2 linked regions of the Caenorhabditis elegans genome follow. The protein of the gene in region 1 purifies or fractionates together with the protein of each later gene. This does not show direct contact. Each region holds a gene or a part of one and is shown on either strand. Other genes may lie near its edges.

Evidence for each region.
Region 2: the proteins of acs-16 (region 1) and mam-3 fractionate together in Caenorhabditis elegans (co-fractionation; one large-scale study listed by BioGRID). This does not show direct contact.

The regions. Positions count from the first base shown.
Region 1 is NC_003279.8:1,468,908-1,474,316, reverse strand, and holds the start of acs-16 (AMP-dependent synthetase/ligase domain-containing protein), read right to left. Parts: upstream 3,243-5,409; 5' UTR 2,997-3,242; coding exon 2,943-2,996; intron 1-2,942. Other genes in the region: F47G6.3 (LEM domain-containing protein), read right to left, coding at 4,781-4,855, 5,227-5,330, 5,384-5,409.
Region 2 is NC_003282.8:13,442,086-13,447,583, forward strand, and holds the start of mam-3 (MAM domain-containing protein), read right to left. Parts: upstream 3,291-5,498; 5' UTR 3,182-3,290; coding exon 3,040-3,181; intron 2,321-3,039; coding exon 2,193-2,320; intron 1,762-2,192; exon of another isoform or gene 1,660-1,761; intron 1,417-1,659; exon of another isoform or gene 1,299-1,416; intron 1,231-1,298; coding exon 1,064-1,230; intron 676-1,063; coding exon 413-675; intron 174-412; coding exon 1-173. Other genes in the region: uso-1 (Uso1_p115_head domain-containing protein), read right to left, coding at 3,947-4,090, 4,640-4,783, 5,207-5,498.

The sequences.
Region 1 (5,409 bases):
TTCAGAAAGATTGGAGCTCTTTGAGCCGAGATATGAAGAGTATTTTCGAGTATCCTCCAAAAATCACGTTTTTTTTCTCATTTTTCGCCTCTTTTTTTTGCAGGAAAATTCGAGTTTTTGCGATTTTTACGAGATTTTTCAGCAGTTTATAGTACTCGACGAGATGCGTCGAAAAACATACAAATCATCCAGATCCATCAGCTATGAGCTCTTTTAGAGAGCTCCAAAGTCAAATTCGCAATTTTGACCTCCCCCCTCCCACTTCGGTGTGTTTTTTTCGTGTTTTTTCGCAAACCACCGCTTCGTGCGCTGTTGTCTTTGAGAAATCTTTGGAAAAAAAATTTTTGATTTTTTTTCCAAAAACTTTTTTTTCCCTTCTCGTAGGATGGCGGTCGTTTGAGATATTTTGATTTTGAGGAAAAAAAATGAAATTACAAATATTTCTAAAGCGATAGAGCAAAAAAATTTCGAAAATTGAGTGAAAACTCACTGAGATAACCGACCTTGAAGCAAGTTACTGCCGTTTTTGGGTTGTTCATTTTTCAACTTTGAGCGTTTATTATTCACTCAATCTGAGATCAATTTCAATTTTGTTTTTTTTTTATAGATTCAAAATTTGACGCTAAATCCGAAAAACTAAGTTTCAAAAAAATTTTAGTGAATTTTTTTTTTTTTTTTTTTTTTTTTCAGCACCGCCAAAAAATCGAGTTTTTCAGCACTAATTTTTTCGAATTTTTGCGATTTTTCACTCATTTTTTGATGAATCTTTGTTTTCTTTTCTGTGTTCAATGAACAATATTGATAAAAAATGGAATCTTTCAACAATTTGTGAAAATTTGTTTTTGAAAAAATTTTGTGCCAGTTTGAAATTTTTCAAAAAATTAATTTTCTGCCTCTTGCCCAGAAAAAGTGGTTTGGTCTGGTGTTTCAACAATAATATTTTTAAAATCCTCACACCTTTTTTCATATTCCCTCAAATTTTTGTAACCCAATTCTCACTTTGAAGGGAGATACAGGCGGGAGATACAGTTCGTTGAAGGGTTGGCTGCCAACACATCGCCACCCCACCCACAGAGAGACACACATTTACGACCCAATATATTCAAATATTACCTCCTGCTCTCAGTTTTCAAGATTTTATGATGATTTTTACTTCATCAGAAAGAACACATTATCTTTCCTATTTGCAGGGATAGAGGAAGACAAAAAAAAACAATATGGATTTAAAATCAGGGCTTCGCCCCGATTTTAATAAAATATATGAAACCCTCTTAAAAAGTTACAAGAAGGTTTTTCCTTGCGCTTGGAGCGCAAAAGAAAATAAAAAGAGCTATTTAGACTTAGGGTGCCCAACTGGAATAAAACATTGGAAATCCCAATCCAACCAGCCTAAGGGCCCGAAAAACATACTAGGATGCCCAACTGGAATAAAATATTGGAAATCCTTATGACACACTTAAGCCTAAGGGCCCGAAAAAAACTAGGATGCCCAACTGGAATAAAATATTGGAAATCCTTATGACACACCGGCGGTATGGCGCGGCTTAAGCCTAAATAGCCACTTTTATCAAAATACATTTGAGCGAGGCGGTTGTAAACTATTCATTCTTTAGCAAAAATAATAAAAAAACTTTATTTAAATTTAAAAATAAATATCATATGTTATCACACCTTAGAATATCACGCCTTAATTTAGTAATCATTTTAGTTCATAAATGTGAGAGAAAGAAAAATGGATTAATCATCGGAATTAAATATCATCAGAGTGATTATATTCATCAAAGGTCTCACTTTATTGGAGGGTTAATTTGATCGATATAAAATTCCTATCTCATGTGAAAAAAGGTTCAAATTCTGTACCTATGAATACTGCCGATATCTGAATTCCTGTCTCATGGGAAGAAGGCCTTTCTTGTGGAAAGAACGGAGTTGTAAAAAATAATACGCAGGTACAGAATTTGAATTTTTCTTCCCATGAGAATTTGAATATTGGCATTCTATAACTTTACTTTAAAAAATCTCCAAAGGTTGATCGCAAATATGTAGAGATTGCTCGCATCCCTTCAAATATTACAAAATTTCCAAGTTTCTTATATATAATCTTCATTTAGATTACTGAAAAATATCCACAGATTACTTTTGAGTTGCCTGAGAAGTTATTGTAAAACGCAAGGCGAGCTGTTGGTACAGAATTTGAACTTTTCTTCCCATGAGATAGGAATTTTGATAATGGCATTCTATAACTTTACTACGAAAAAATATCCCCAAAGGTTGCTCGCTTCCCCCAAATATTACGAAATCTCCAAGTTTCTTAGTAATCTATAGTTTTCATTTAGATTACTGAAAAATATACAAAGATTACTTTTGAGTCTGAGAAGTTATTGTAAAACGCAAAGCGAGCTCAAATGTATTTTGATAAAAGTGGCTATTTAGGCTTAAGCCGCGCCATACCGCCGGTGTGTCATAAGGATTTCCAATATTTTATTCCAGTTGGGCATCCTAGTATGTTTTTCGGGCCCTTAGGCTGGTTGGATTGGGATTTCCAATGTTTTATTCCAGTTGGGCACCCTAAGTCTAAATAGCTCTTTTTATTTTCTTTTGCGCTCCAAGCGCAAGGAAAAACCTTCTTGTAACTTTTTAAGAGGGTTAGGCTTAGGCTTGGGCTTAGGTTTAGTCATAGACTTAGGCTTAGTCTTATGAAGAGTTCAGCAAAAAAAAAATTTCAGAAAATTTCAATTAAAGAAATCTAAAAAATGTTGCCCAAAATGTTAAAAAAAATTTTTTATGGATTAGGCCTAGGCTTAGGCTTAGGTGTGGGCTTAGGCTTATGAAGAGTTCAGCAAAAAAATTTTCATAAAGTTTAAAAAAAAATCTAAAAATTTTTAAAAGCCTTTTTTTAGCCCAAAAAAACATGTTTCAATTTTTTTAAATATAAAACCTACCGTAACCCATCCATTGTAATCGATACAAAAAGTTTGTTGAAAAAACTCGGACATCTCTTTGCACACACACACACTACTAGTACTCCACTGCGCCAAGATAATATTACGAAAGGATTCGTCTTCACTCGGCCGGGAACGCCAACTGTTTGTGAGAAATCACACAGAGATATTGATTTTCGAGAGAGACGCAGAGATTTGAAGGGACCAACGGGCTTCTTCCGAAACAACAAAAAATGAAAGGGATTTGTTGTGTAACGGGGGGTAGCAGGGAGAGATTGAGAATCAACAAATGGGATCGGAACTGGGAAAATCATTGTTTTTTGATGGACCTTATGACTGGTCACTTGAGAAGGTGTCAGCTTTTCTCAGGTCAAATTGTTACCATGGGAAAACAGCTAGTGGAGTCGGCAATCGAATTTTCGGCAATAGCAAAAATTGCCGATTGCCAGAAATCTGAATTTCCGAAAATATAAATCTGATACTTTTTGCAGATTTAGGAGCCTAAACATGCATTTTAAAGGTGAAGTACCGAAATTTGGGACTTTGCATTTTTAGACCCAAAATGGTCCAAAACTACCAAAATTCGTAATAAGACGTTCTGAAAACTTCTCATAAAAAAGTTATGGCCGCTCAAAGTTTTGGAAAAAATGGTTTATTTTTAGCTAAAATCTCAAATTTTGGCAACTTATCGGTGTCGCAGCAGTTGGAACTTAATTTTTATTTGATTATCATCCTTCAATGCATATTTTGGCATTTTATTTTTTGAAATAACACATAATAAAATGCCAAAAGATGTATCAGATTGAAATTAAGTTCCAACCGCTGTGACACTGAAAAGTTGCCAAAATTTGAGATTTAGCTAAAAATAGGCCATTATTTCCAAAACTTTGAGCGGCCATAACTTTTTTTTGAAAAAGTTTCAGAGCGTCTCATTACGAAATTTGGTAGTTTTTGGTCATTTTGGTTCTAAAAAAGCAAAGTCCCAAATTTCGGTACCCCACCTTTAATGAACAGTTTTCTTTTTTCAACCTCAAAATATTTTAATCCTTTAAGGATTGGCCCTTTTCTTCTAGAAAATGACCAACCGAATACTAAAAAACAATGTGAAATTTTTTCAATTTCCGAAATATAATTAGCTTTGAAAATTGCAAACAATGTCTGGCAGTCGATAATTTCGGCAAATTCGGCAATTTTGAAAAACCGGCAATTGCCGGAAATTTCCGATTGCCGCGCCTCTGAAGTATAGTACAGGGGTGGGCGGCAATTGCTGTTCAGCAAATTGATTTGTAAACAAATTCGAAAAATCGGCAAATTGCCTATTTGCCGTTTGCCGGATATCGAAAACACTTAAAAAGCTGTGTCCTTTTGAATTTTTATCCCGTTTTTTCAACATTTTTTCATAGAATTTGCTAACTTTTTAAAAAAAAGTAGGAGCATTCAAAGGATGCGTTTAATTTTACCATTTGAAATTGAAAATCTGAAATTTACAAAAAAAAATAGCGCGAAACTACAATTTGCCAAAAATTTAAAAATTTAATTGAAATTAAAAAAGGATTTAATACTAAATTAAGAAAATAAAATTTAAAAAATTTTTACATTTCCTCGGAAAAGTAATCAAAATTTGAACAAAGAATGATTTATCACCAACTATTGAAAGTTATTAAATTTCCGTCGAAAAGTTGAAAAAAAAATCTCAGCAAATTCGTATTAAATCTATGTACGGAAGTATTAAAATCATGACTTCTTGTTTTTTTTTTAAATTTAATATTCTATATTTAATGTTTAAATCAGGCTAATAAACACTTTATAAAAACGCATGTTAAAAAAATTCAAACAGTTTAAGATCTCATTTCAATCAGAATGCTCGGCGGACAATCAAAGTTCATGTTCAGAATCTGTTCCGTTTGAGTGACCTGAAAAATTCTACTTTGAGTGCAAAAATGTTATAAAAATTTTAATTGTCTTTATTTTTATTTTGAAAAAAATTTCTAAATGGCTAAATTATTGTCAAGTTCTAGTACAACTTTTTGAACACAAAAAACTTTAAAAAAAGTAAAATTATCGATTTTTAGGATAAAGTTTTTTTTTTGAGAAGCCATGCTTAAATTTATATATTAAAGAAAAATTAGAAAAATAATTTGCGCGGGAGTTCCAAAATGATTTTTTTTGCCATTTTAACTTTTAAAAACCATTATACGGGCGGAGACTTTGACCAGAATTACGCAGCCGACATTAATCGAGGCTCGCGAAAGGCTCCCCCACTTTTGGCCATCTTTCAACTTACCCATCGATAAGTTACCGCTTTCATCGCATTTGTAACATTTTTGTGCTGTCTTTTGAGGTTTAAAAGAGTCGACTCATAAACCGGCTTAAAGAATCCTTGAACCACTAAAATTTTTATCACTTTTATACAAAAAATCCAATGAGAAAAAAAAACTCACATCCCGGGCAGTTATTCTCTCGAAGA
Region 2 (5,498 bases), on another chromosome or scaffold:
ATCAACCCATCGATCAATTGATCTACCAACTCTCCATTCACTTAATTGAGATTTGGCCATATTTCCCCATCGACAGGATCGTAGCGGGCGTTCACAACTCAAATCAGACATTCTTTGAAGTGGACTATTATCATATGGAGGAATACGAAGAGATGAGAATGATGATGGGAATGCTGGAATAATTAATTTTAGGTAAAATGGGAGTGATTGAGATATTTTGTTAGATTATGAAGAGTGAGGCATTGGATTTTTCTGGATGTTCAGTGAAAGTTTAAAACTTCTCTAACAAATCTAGTTTTATTTTGAAAAATTTACAGAACAAAATCTTTTAAAAAAGGATTAAAAATATCGTTTTTTTTGCGCGCCAATTTGATTTTGACTGCTTCATATCTCGAATAACTTTAAAACTTACGTGATTGCTGGCAAATCTTTCCGTGATATCTGATATGATCAATGATTGCCAAACTTCCAACAGTATTATCTTTGAGATCAAATGCTCGAATTCCAATTCTGAACGGTTCCTTAATCGGCGGAATCTCGACACGACATTCCTCATTGGCGGCTCCCAAGAAATCACACTTCATTTTTGGTCTGAGCAAGACTTGAAGATGACGTCTACGATTCATTGCTCGAAGGATGATAACTTCCACTTGAGCATTGTTGTATAGCCAGAAGCTAGAAGGATATAACTGGGATTATAATTTTATTTTGGAATCTATGTTAGTTAGAGCACAGTATTTTGCCGATCGCATACTTTGTGAGCTTTTACTCAGGCAACTCAAATCTAATATGAAAATATTAAATAGCAATATTTTTGTAGTAAAAACGAGAAATTGTGCGTCATATAAAGATTACTAAAAATTTCGATTTTTTTTTTTTATATCAGCATTTTTCAAACTATTGAATCATAGAAGAACGCTTAGTTCGTTTTTTACATATTAAAAAAAATGCAAAGACAGTAGAGATCTAAGCTTTCAAAGAAGAGCAAACACATTTTATTTCAAAAAAAATTTAGGCCCTCCAACTTTGTGCTTAAAATTCTTAAAATTATCTTTGACAATACCTGAAAGTCAAGTTGGCAAATCCTTTTTGACAAGCAATTGGAGCACTGCTCAACACTGCTCCATTCGGATTTTTCGTCGTATTTCCAGCAATTATAAAATGTTCGCCTTTTGGAATTACAGGATTTCCGGGCTGGATTTGAACTGGGAAAGTTTTCTCGTCATTTTTCTGAAATTGTTTAATTTTTTAAAAAAGTTTTGAAAAATTGTAAGTATAGAATTTATAGATTTGTCTAACAAAATCGTCAAAAAATTTGGAACGCTTCACGAATTTGCGTGTCATCCTTGCGCAGGGGCCATGCTAATCTTCTCTGTATTGTTCCAATTTTAGTATATGTTCTCGGAAGAACAAACATTTAGATTTACATTTCAATTATATAGGGACCATTAACAATGCAGCTGGCATATTTGGAGTTATGTAAGACACTATACCAAATGTAGATGTAGATCAATAATTTGTGCACCTATTCTATAGCGATACCAATATCGATTTGCATCTCCACTTCCCTAGCATAGTCATAGTGTCTTACATAACTCCAAATATGTCAGCTGCTGTGTAAATGGTCCCTATATAATTGAAATGTAAATCTAACTGTTCGTTCTTCCGAGAACATATACTAAAATTGGAACAATACAGAGAAGATTAGCATGGCCCCTGCGCAAGGATGACACGCAAATTCGTGAAGCGTTCCAAATTTTTTCTATAATTTTTGGTGAACTTTCCAATGGTTCTAAAGTTGAACTGTATAATTGAATTGTCTGAATAAATTCTCGAAATGTTGCCACTTTCAATCGAGTTTTTGAAATGTTTTTTTTTTGAAACTTTCAGTTAAAACTAGTTCATAAAACCAATTAGTTGCCAAAATTAGTTGGTATCTTTTACATATTATTCGTCTCAAAACTGAAAGCTAAATATTGTATATTATACCCTGGCCTACATATAGCGTAGGATATGGAATTTCACATACATTTTTATTTCTAATTGAACAATTATACCACATTCAAAGTTTGTATTCAGCGAAATCTATAACTGAGATCGTGACAAGACCCACTCAGAAAAGGTTTTATATTCCAAAAAAAGAATAGAATGGCACAAGACATTTGAAGGAAAGTTTTTCATGAATAACAAACCTTAAAATACCACCAATCACTGGTATCCAAAAGCTTATCAGTCGGCGCATTTCTCCAAAGACATTCGGTCTCAAAGTCACAGTTGAGTTCATCAGGTGACTCAATATACGTGGCAAATCCAACGGCCTCTGAAATCCACGTGATTGTGGTTTTTTTTTGCAGATCCTCGTGGTTTGATAATTTTAGCTGTTTAAAAACAAAAAAACACTTCACATTAAAATTGCTTATTTATCACTAATTTTTAAGAACGAATCTAAAACCAGATTTTTTATGAAAGTAAAAATCGGCTGATTTATTGTTGTTACATACTTTTGTTACAGAAATTAGCGAAATATTAGCGAAATCTGGATAAAATACCGTAATTTTACTACTACTGTACTACTGTAGATTTTGAAGTACTTCATTAAAAGCTCACGGAATTATTCAGACGGGCCTCGGCGCGCAAAAAAGTTTATGGTAGTTTTATTTGTTCATTGGATGTAGTATTGTATTTTTTTTCAATGAAATCACATGGTTTTCAGCTGTAATAAATCGTTGACAATCAGTTTTCAAAGTTTAAATAAAAATTAAACTACCGCGAACTTTTAATTCCGTGCGCCTTTAATAAGGAACTACAAAATCAAGTAAATTTCCGATAAAGCTTAAATTTTTGGAAAAAAAAATCTCGTCAAAATTCAGAGTAAATCCAAAAAAAACTGGAAAATGTTGAAAAAAACATTTTTAAAAAATCGGGATGTGGCCATAAATTATTGAAAAAAAATTGAATTTTTCCAAAAAATCGAAAATTTAGACTTTTTTCGTTCGGAGCAAAAAACAGTAAATTCCTTCAAAAAACCAAAAAACCAACCTTCCACAGGAATCTCTCCATTATTATCTGGCCTAATACCAAGATACAAGTCTAAATATCGAAGCTCTTTTTGAAATTGAGCATGACATGCTTCTAGAGATGGTAGAAAAATGAGCAAAAGTGCAAATTTCTTCCAGATCATTATTTTCGAGAGGCAAAAAGGGTGTGTACAGGCGAAGAACAATGGCAGATGCGCGGGCCAGGAGAAGCAGGCGAGAGGAACGAACCGGCTTCCGAATCACTATTGATATGGAGAATAGACGGGTTCGTTATATCATTTGATCATTCACCGAATCCCCATTCAACCTGAGAGAGAGAATGATGGATTTCGGAATCAATCAATAATTTATTTGGACCATATTTACTATTAAGTTTTACATAAATAAAATTGAAAGGAAAAAAAAAACATAATTTCGGTATCACAGAAGACAGTGTGGTTTGAACGAAATGGAAAGAGTAGGTAGGGATACAAAAAAAACAGGAAGAAAATATTTTGCCAGCAAAATCACGGCGAATACGATATCGTAGATTTACAAGATCTCTGAGATGTCTTCTTAAAGGCGCACGGTTTTATGGGTCTCGGCGAGCCCAAAAAAATTTTTATGGTATTTAATTTTGTTTATTTTCTTTGCATTTATCACATAAGTTAAAAATTGTTTTAAATCAGTTTGAGAAAAAAAAACAAGAAAGCCGAAACATATCTGAAAAAAACCTGTGCGCCTTTAAGAAGACACTTAAAAAATCCTGCGAAAGTACGGTGTATGCGTTATAAATTAAATATTATACAGGAAACCTATTCGATTTAAAAAAAGAAAAGTTGATTGGAAGTATTACATGTTCTATGACAAGATTGACCCCCCAAAGAAAACAAAAAAGAAACCCGATTTTTAGTAATCCCACAGCCTTATTACTCGTCCTCATCATCTGTCACTGGCTGTTTTAGGTTTCGAAGAAGGCGTCGGTAGGCTGACATTTTATTGTGTTGATCAGCGAGAAGCATCAGAAGTTCTTCTTGTTCTTGTTTCAGTTTTGAAAACTCTTCGGAGTCAGCCTGAAAATTTGAAATGTTTGAATTATTTTCACTGAGATAAAGCTCAAAAGCTACTCATCGAAACGTTTTTATTTTAGTTTTTTTCCAGAGAAAATTGAAAAAAAAATGAAAAAGTGGATGAAAAATCTGTAGCAAAAAATAATTTCTTCAGAAAAAATCGAACCAAAATTTAAAAGTAGTTTTTTGAAAAACGAAATAATTAATTTTTTCATAGAAAAATTATATTTTAAGTGTTTGATATTTTTAGAATTTTTTATTATTTTTTCAGCTTTTTTCAAAAAAAAAATTGAAATTTTATCAAGTTTTGCTCAAATTAACCTCAAATATATAACTATTTTTATATATATATATATTTTTTCCTTCTTAAAAAAAAGAAATCTGTTAAAAAATCAAGGTTTCGAAAAACTGAAATTTTACACATTTTTTCGATTTTTTAATGAAAAAATCGATAATTTTGGTAAGATTTTCCATCTTTTCCAATAAAATTATACTTTTTCAGTGTTTTTTCTAGAAATTCCTGAAATTTCGAAAATTCCACTCGAATTCTACCTGTGGTTCGTGCTCCACAACTATTCCATTCGAAATTGGCTTCAAATTCAATTGCTCAATTTTATAATTGGCTTCAGCGAGAGCAGCTTCCGTTTTCGCGAGTCTATCTTTAAGATTTGCATTCTCTGATGTATAGTGGAGCATCTGAAATATGTAAATTTTATTTTTATGGTTATTTTATTTTTTTTTGGTTATTTTTTTTATTTTAGACCAAACGGAAGCCGAAAAAAAATTTTTCGAATAAATTTAAGCATCGAATTGTTTTTTGGTTTTTTTTGATTTTCGCAGATTTAAATGTTTAGTTTTTTGATCCAATTGTGTCATTTTTCGATTTTTCGATTTTCCGGAAAATCGAAAAAAATTTCCGAAAATTAACCACAAAATATGATTTTACAAAATCAAATTTTTGTTTTATTGATGAGAAAAAAAATAAATATTTTCATCAAAAAAAGAAGAACCCTGACCAAAATTTTAAGCTAATTTTTGAAAAATCGACAAATTTTTTTTTCGAAAAAACGAAAATTTTCGATTTTTCGATTTTCTGATAAAATCTCCTGTCTACCATACCGTTTGTGATTGCTGTTCGAATGCCTGATATCCAAATCCGAGTTGCTGCTCCAACTCGTTGACTTGTTGCTGAAGCTGAGCCAATCCCGTCTCTACACCATTCGGAAGCTGTGCCAACTGATAGGCTTGCCATTGTTGAGCCCATTGCTTGTATCGTTCGGCTTCTGCATACCATTGTTGTGTGAGTCTCTGTGACTCTACTAGCTGACTATTCAGCACTTCATTTTGAGTTTTAAATGCTTCAGATTCTTCTAATCTCACACGAAGATTCTCAACTTCTCGTTCCATTTGC